Sus scrofa: one gene and its partner. The protein of the gene in region 2 purifies or fractionates together with the protein of the main gene of each other region. This does not show direct contact. Links are inferred from orthologs where the notes say so. Each region holds a gene or a part of one and is shown on either strand. Other genes may lie near its edges.

Evidence for each region.
Region 1: the proteins of PLA2G4A (region 2) and S100A10 purify together in Homo sapiens (affinity purification with western blotting; 3 studies listed by BioGRID). This does not show direct contact. The link is inferred for Sus scrofa from reciprocal best matches to the Homo sapiens genes PLA2G4A and S100A10.

The regions. Positions count from the first base shown.
Region 1 is NC_010446.5:97,267,358-97,271,279, reverse strand, and holds the start of S100A10 (protein S100-A10), read right to left. Parts: upstream 2,201-3,922; 5' UTR 2,180-2,200; coding exon 2,048-2,179; intron 1-2,047. UniProt on the Homo sapiens protein: Because S100A10 induces the dimerization of ANXA2/p36, it may function as a regulator of protein phosphorylation in that the ANXA2 monomer is the preferred target (in vitro) of tyrosine-specific kinase.
Region 2 is NC_010451.4:128,153,975-128,157,796, reverse strand, and holds part of PLA2G4A (cytosolic phospholipase A2), read right to left. Parts: intron 3,199-3,822; coding exon 3,041-3,198; intron 1-3,040. UniProt on the Homo sapiens protein: Has primarily calcium-dependent phospholipase and lysophospholipase activities, with a major role in membrane lipid remodeling and biosynthesis of lipid mediators of the inflammatory response.

The DNA of each region.
Region 1 (3,922 bases), on a different chromosome or scaffold from region 2:
ATGCCATCCTGTACTCTTTGCTGGATGTTTTTACATTGAATGTACTTCAAAAGCAATATATGTAATGGAATCCTAAACTCCCCATGACTCTTAATGCCAGTGCATGGAACTGGGATGGACAGGCAAGATCCCCTTTGTTTTTTCTTTTATCCTGCTTTCATTGTGATTGACTTGATCGCTCCTTTCTGTAGTGATGGTGCTTAGAAGTGGGAAAGGGTGGTTTCTCCTGCAGGGTCCATGCCGTCAACCAGAAGGAGATATGGCCCTTTACCGGTGTTAAAGGGCTCAGGTAAAGTATTTATGAATTCCACGGACTCGTATATGTGAGGGAGGGAATAGACACTCAGTGTCTCCAGTGTGCTGGATGTTTATAAACTGCACTCAGAAATCCCTTAAGGTGAAGCAGCAGCATTTCCCACATGCCCTAAGAAATCAACTCCAACCTGTCTATACAGCTGCCTCTGCTTTTGGTGGGTTTCAGTTAATTCTGGCCTCGACCCCAGTTTCCTGGCTGAGATCAGAAGGAGTGAAATCTGGATGACATAATGCTCTGTCAATGCAGCGAGTGTGGATGTGCCTGGAATTATGACCCCATCCTTGAATAAATTAAACTGCCATGTTTAGTACTCATTGCTGAACACTTGAATTTATCAAGCCACAGAGCCTTTAGGAGGAAGGGTCTTTGTCTCATGTGATGGTCATCCTGGCTTCTAACTCCTGAGTATTTAGGAATAGACCCAGAGTGCCTTTGTTTGTGTGGTGGGAAGCTTTACAATAAGCACATTTTGTCCTTGAATTTAATGCCTGCCTGGAAGGGTCACAGAACGTGAAAGTGATCTTGGAGGTAATCACGTCCAGCCCTCTCATTTTACAGAGGAGGGAACTGAGGCCCAGAAAACTGAAGCAACCTGCCTGATATTAGTTCGGGCAGAGCCAGATCATCTAATTCCTGGTCTGGGGCTATATCACAGAACTCAACAAAAGCAGAGCAACAGTATCCTCGAACTCATTCTGGGAGAGCATTGTGGTAACTGCAGCTCTGAGAAGCTAGTTAAGCTATTTATATCTGTTTGACTGGTACTGATGACATGCGAATCATTATGTACTACAAAACCCTATGTTTACTGAGTCAGGAGTCAGAGGCTTGACTAATGCCATTTACCAGGCAGATGACAAGAGAAAGGACCCTGCCTTTAACCATCACCTCCCTCCACCCTTTAGAGGTAATGCAATATTCCACACCAAGCACAGTGATGCTTCAAGCACCTCTGACTGTGGCAGCGAGAGAAGGGCTTGCATTTCAATCTACTATTTTGTTAGGCAATGTTTCACTTTCAGTGAAATGCAGTAACCATCTCTCCAGGGCCTGCAGTATAAAAGAACTACTGTGCTTTGTGGCCTGATGTCCTGAATGATGTATCTGAGCTGATGGGAGATCCTCTTCCTTCACTGATCCCTCTCAGGCTGTCAGAGGTGAGGCATAAACCCAAACTGTTCTCCTATGTTCACACAGCCTTTTCAGTGGGAAAAGCAGTTATTTCTTGAGCAATGCCTGGCTCTCATTTAGTAAATTTCACACCATTCCCTTATAGTAGAGCTCGAAAAAAGAATTTTAAAGCCTTTATCTGAAGGGATTTAAGAAAGGAGATTCAAGCTGCTCAAAGGACAGCCTGAGGACAGCCAGGCACCCTGGTTGATTACTCCCTGGTGCAAGGCCTTTTTTCCTGCAACTCTGTCTCTATGGAGGCAGATGACTCCAGATAAAGTCGCTCTAACACCTCAAACTGTGGTGATTTGTGTGTAGTCTCATTTCACCTCCAAACTGAAAGCTCCTTGAGGGCAGAGGCAGTGTCTTCTTTACTTTCTGTTTCCAACCCCACTGTCTTACAAACAGTAGGCACTCAGTATATTTAATCAATAAATGAATGAAAACACCTTTCTAGCACTGACTTCCCCCGGGAAGGGCTGGAAAGAGGAAGGGACAGGAACCAGGGCCCAGAAGCACTGATTTCTATGTCTGGTTCTCTCTGAGCCTTTCAATACTTACTTCCAAAAATCCCGGGAACTCCTTTTCCATGAGTACTCTCAGGTCCTCCTTTGTTAGGTAGCCTTTATCCCCAGCAAATTTGTGAAATGTGAACATCATGGTTTCCATGGCATGTTCCATTTGAGACGGCATTTTCGTGAGGTCTGTTGAAACCTATTAAAGGATGTGAAGCGACAGAATTTACATTTTTTCCCCCTTTTTTGGCTGCCCTGTGGTATATGGAGTTCCCAGGCCAGGGATCAGATCTGAGCTATAGCTGCCACCTAAGCCACAGCTGTGGCAACACCAGATCCTTAACCTACTGTGCCAAGCCCAGGAACGAACCTACATCCCAGAGCTCCCAAGATGCAGCTTATCCCATTGCACCACAGCGGGAACTCCTACATTAACTTTTAAACCACATGATTTACCAGTCTTTTGAGAATGATTGGAAGAGGGCAATTTGCTCATCCAGTCCATCCTTTTTAACTGTAAAATTCAATGAATACATCAGGACCAATTCATCCCAGGTTTGGGGTCTCCTGCTGATGGAAATAGGCACTTTAGGTACTGCTGCTCTGAAGGAGGGATTGATCTAGTTGCCTGTTAACTGCACAAATCACCCAATGAAGAATAAAAATTCTAATCATTTGGAAAAGCAAGATCAGTGCCCCTCTTTTTAACTGACAAAGCTCCTACTGAGAGATGTTTCATCATTTCTCTTGGCACCGGTAAATGGGACTCAGATATAGCTGAATACCAACAACTCGCACAGTCAAGCTTGGTTAATACGAAAACTTCAATTCTCCAAAAGCTGAATTAAGTAACTTAGTTTAGTTTAAGTCTATGCTTAAGAAATCTGCTTACAAATGACTTTCATATGCTGAGTATGTATTCTTTACTAAAAGTTCTGAACTTGCTATAGATTCTAACAAACATCTGCATCTTTGGTAGTGAGTTGCAGTTGCCCTCCTCAAATAAAGCTACCCAAAGCCCATTATCTACTTTCTTGAAAAAGAACAGGTAATAGTATATCCATCCTAATTCCTTTGGGGATCTGATATATCCTTGGCAGCACTAGACAAAAGACCTACTCTCACCGTCTGGGGTGCAGTGGGAGAGCAAGAGCTTTTCATTGTGAATAGTTAAAGAAAGGAGTTCTTTTGTGGTGCAGTGGGTTAAGGATCTGGCATTGCCACTACTGCAGTTTGGGTTTGATCCCTGGCCTGGGGGCTTCCATATGCCAGGGATGCGGCCTAAATAAATAAATTAATTAAATAAAAAGATAAAGGAGATGTCAGATTGTTATATTCAGGTATAATAATCTGAGGACATGTGTCTAATCAAGACATACACTTGGTACCCAACAGGAGCCCACTGAATTTTGCTTAATTGGAAGGCAGGCTTTGGCCAGAACAGAGTAGCTTTAGTTAACAGCACCTAAAATCACTCCAGGATAAGAAACAGATGAACTTGAATAGAGACTGTAATATATACCGTGGGAAAAAAAAAAGATAAGAATAGGTTTTGAACAGAGGTTGAAGGAAAGTCTGGCATCTTCCCCTGAAGGGTTGATACAGGAACCAGAGACGTGGTTTCAGCCTGGTTTCTGCTGCTGACATATGCGTGTGTAACATATCCCTGAATACTATCTTTTATGGGGGAAGAGGGTGGAGTTGGTGAACACAAGGATTGAGCAAGTACATGTCAAAAGTTCTACCCCTTAATCCCCAGAAAAGTACAGGAATCAGCATGCCAAAGAATGTGCTACTCTAGAGAATGTTATAAACCAGAATCTGGCATGATTCATCTGGCAGGCAGGTCTCTTGGAGAGAGCAAAAAATTCAAGGTCCACTGTGGGATGAATTCCAGGGGAACCACACCTTTTCTCCTTTC
Region 2 (3,822 bases):
GTTAACCAACACGCCCAAAGTCACTCAGTGAGGAGGCACAGACAAAAATCTGAGCCCTCAATTTGGTCTGACTCCAAAGCCTTTACATTTTCCACATACTGCATGTCTACCAGTATAAGTCACTATATCTTAGGCTTCTTTCAAAATAAATAAATAAATAAAAAGGACCAAAAACTCCCATGAAATGCTGCCACTGTTAAAGCACTTGGGCACTGTTCAGCAAAAAGGAATTTGGGAGGACTGAGTAAGTGCAGAAACCTGGAGCTAATGAGAAAGCCAGCCTGCTGTCAAGAAGTGAGCAGAAACAGAAGTTCTCTAAAGATGACCTGGCATTTAGCTCCAGCAAAGCAGGCCCACTATGAAGCAACAGAAGCACAAGGCTGAAGAGACAGATTGGCCTTTTCAGAGTAAAGATTTAACTCAGAAGGTGAATCAAAAATGAAAATCTCCCTTAAGTCACGGTGTTGTGGCCGCAAAGTTGAAACTGTCTCCATGGGATTGGTAGTCAGACATCTGAATTAGAAGAGTTTACATTTTCTCTTTCTTCTTTCTTTCTTCTTTCTTTACTTCCTCCTTCCTTCCTTCTTTTATTTCCTTCCTTCCTTCCTTCCTTCCTTTATTTCCTTCCTTCCTTCTTTCTTTCCTTCTTTCTTTTTTTTCTTTTTGCTTTTTAGGGCTGAACCCAAGGCACATGGAAGTTCCCAGGCTAGGGGTCAAATCAGAGCTGCAACTGCCATCTACATCTAAGCCACAGCAGTACCAGATCTGAGCCACATCTGAGACCTACACTGTAGCTCGCAGCAATGCTGGATCCTTAACCCACTGAGTGTGGCCAGGGATTGAACCTGCATCCTCATGGACACTAGTCGGGTTCATTGAGGCACAATGGGAACTCCAGTCTGTAGTCTTATTTCTGGCCATTTGCAAAGGTCTTCAGGTGTATTCATCATGGTACAGGATACAGACACACATAGGTATGGATCCCATTTATTAAACAGCTTCTGTTTGCAGGGCACTGTTCACACATCACCTGATTCACGATTCACTACTGCCACTATGGCAGATGCGGTTACTCCTGAAATGGAGACTGAGGCTCAGAAAGTTCAAGTAGCTTATTCAAGGTCACACAAGTAGCCCATCTAAGAGCTAAGCATAAAGTCCATGACCTTGCTTCTACATACCATACCAGAAAAAGTTCTTAGAAGCAATCGAAACCTGCTTAATTAAATGGCTGGTGAAAAATCTACATCTGATGAATTCTAAGTCTGGACAGTTATTCTGGAATTCAGTCTGGTTTTGTTCAAGCTTTAACTTTTTCATCATGCATCAAAAAAACTACTTTTAAGAATGTGTATAAAATATATAAATAGAACCATATACATACACACACACACACACACACACATATAACCATATCCATAATAACTTAGCAGATTTTATATAAACCAGAACTGAAAACAATGAAAAAAATGTAGCTGTGTATATATTTCTATATATACAGATACACGTGCATGTGTGTGTTTGTATGTGATCCTTTTATTTTCCCAAGTCCAATAGGGTATTTATATATTCTTACCATCTATTTTTTTCCATTTGAGGAGAACTGATCAAGCTTAATACATTTCATCCCAAGGAATACACAGCATAGTTCTGAGTTTATTGGCTCTACACTGAAAAATTACTCCTAAATTACTCCTCACTTCTTTTCTGTTTTAATAGCATGAGGTTTTATAAAACACAACTCCATTCTGAGAACGTCTGCTTGCTCCCTATCAATCATAGATTAAAACACCAATTTTCTCTTAATATTCTTTAAATTTTCATCATTGCCATAGAAACAATGTAACATATGGATTTCAGATGTTCACTGAATAATAACAAAGTAAAGGAATAAATCTACTTGGAAAATGACATATGCTATTAATTTTGCTAAGCATGTTTTACATAAATTATCATGTATTATTCACAAGTGAAGGCTGACAAGAGACACTTTAGAGTTGCAGGACCTGAAGCTTACTGGGGAAAAGTTCATATGTTAACAAAAATTAAAGATATTGCTTAATAAACATATGATGGTGGAACCGTTATAACTGCACACAATTGATTGTTACTAGCCTCAGGCCAAAATAGACAAACAAGCACACTAAATGTGCCAGAATTCTATGAGCTCACAAAATCTAATTAAATCTCACATGCCCAGAACACCCGTCCACACCTGTACCTTATTTTGGTCTATTCATACAGTCTCCAAAAAGACTGGCAAATGAGGTATGAGGCCCTTCCCTCTCCATTTACTCTTCCTTTCTTTTGCTTGTACTCTTTGTTTCCTAATGTGCGAAATCCAATCAGGCTAATGAACTTGGGCTTTTAAAACTGATCATCATTTGTCAGATCTGTGAGGTGGCATCACAAGCCATCATGGTTCTAGTTACACAACAGTGGTCTCAAATGGTGCATTAGCAGCTAAAGAATTTTACACAGAGACAGAATCTTAGCAGCAGACACACTTGTGAGGAACTAATACTGAAGAGAATGACTTGTTTCTAACGGTTCTGAAGCAAAACATACTTGGTATCTCCAGGGCTAAAAATGGAGAAGAGAGGCTGCCACTTTGAGCAACACTGCCAAGATCTAAAAAAATAAAGACATTTAAAAGCATGAGTGTATCCATTAAAGTTCGTGCTATTTTTGCAGATAACTACACTTTTGGTTACACTCATTTTCTTTTTATCACTTTTTTCCTATTCCTATTTTATTTTAATATGGGATAAATACACGAGATATTTTGGGAAAGAAGCTGAGAGTTAACCAAGCCGTCAATCAAATGAGAGTATAACAGGTGAGCTCTGCCAATTTGGAGGCCTTGGCACTCTTATTTGTTAACTTTACAAGGCTCACCAATAGCTCATAAAAAAGAAAATGGTACAGTTGGGGGGGTGGTATTCATAAACCTTATTTTTAATTAACTAAAAAGAGGTTTTGCTATGTCCATGTGGTATGAAAGAGTCTGACATCGTCAACGATCATAGAAGATACTTACATCAATGTTGTTCAGGGTATTGAAATACATCAGATCATGCAGTCTTTTGAACGCTTGATTTGGATATTGGAAGTTGAAGGTTGAAAATGGTGATTCAGGGTCATCAAAGATATCAAAATCAGCTATCTCTTTCTCTTCCTGAGTTTCTCTTGGAACACCTAAATATAAGAAGAGTCTCAAATGGCATAATTTTGAAAACTGTAAATTATCTCTAAAACCCAGGCATATAAAACATATGCATAGCTATTAACACAACACTGGGAGCCTCTTCTGGGGTCATGTAATTCTTAACATAGACTAATAGGCTTCCACCCATATTCCCTGAACTTCAGCATTTCTGTAGGTTCTAAACAGACAACTTCCAATGGACAGGATTTGCCTCTCTGAGTCTAAGGGCTTTCTACCCCTCCCTGCAACTGCAGAAGGCGGCTTTGTTCACTAGCATCAGGCTGGAAATGCCAGTAAATAATATTGTGTCCCAGGAAGCAGTCAAACAAAGACTCTATGGTATTGGTATATAAATTCCCCCATTCCCTTGCCACTTGCTGTGTTACTGGGAAGGATGATTCTGGACCACAGATTCCATTCCATTTCCTAGAGTTTCCCAAAAGGATCAGGTTCTCCTTGAGATGGCCAGCTTAATACATCTTTTGTTATCTGCCTTTCTTCCCTTTTTCAGTTCCCTACTATCTTACTAAAATTCCCTTGTGCACCCAAATAAACTGTTTGCACTTGAATCCTTTGCTTGGAAACTGCTTCTCATAGAACTCAAACTCATACAT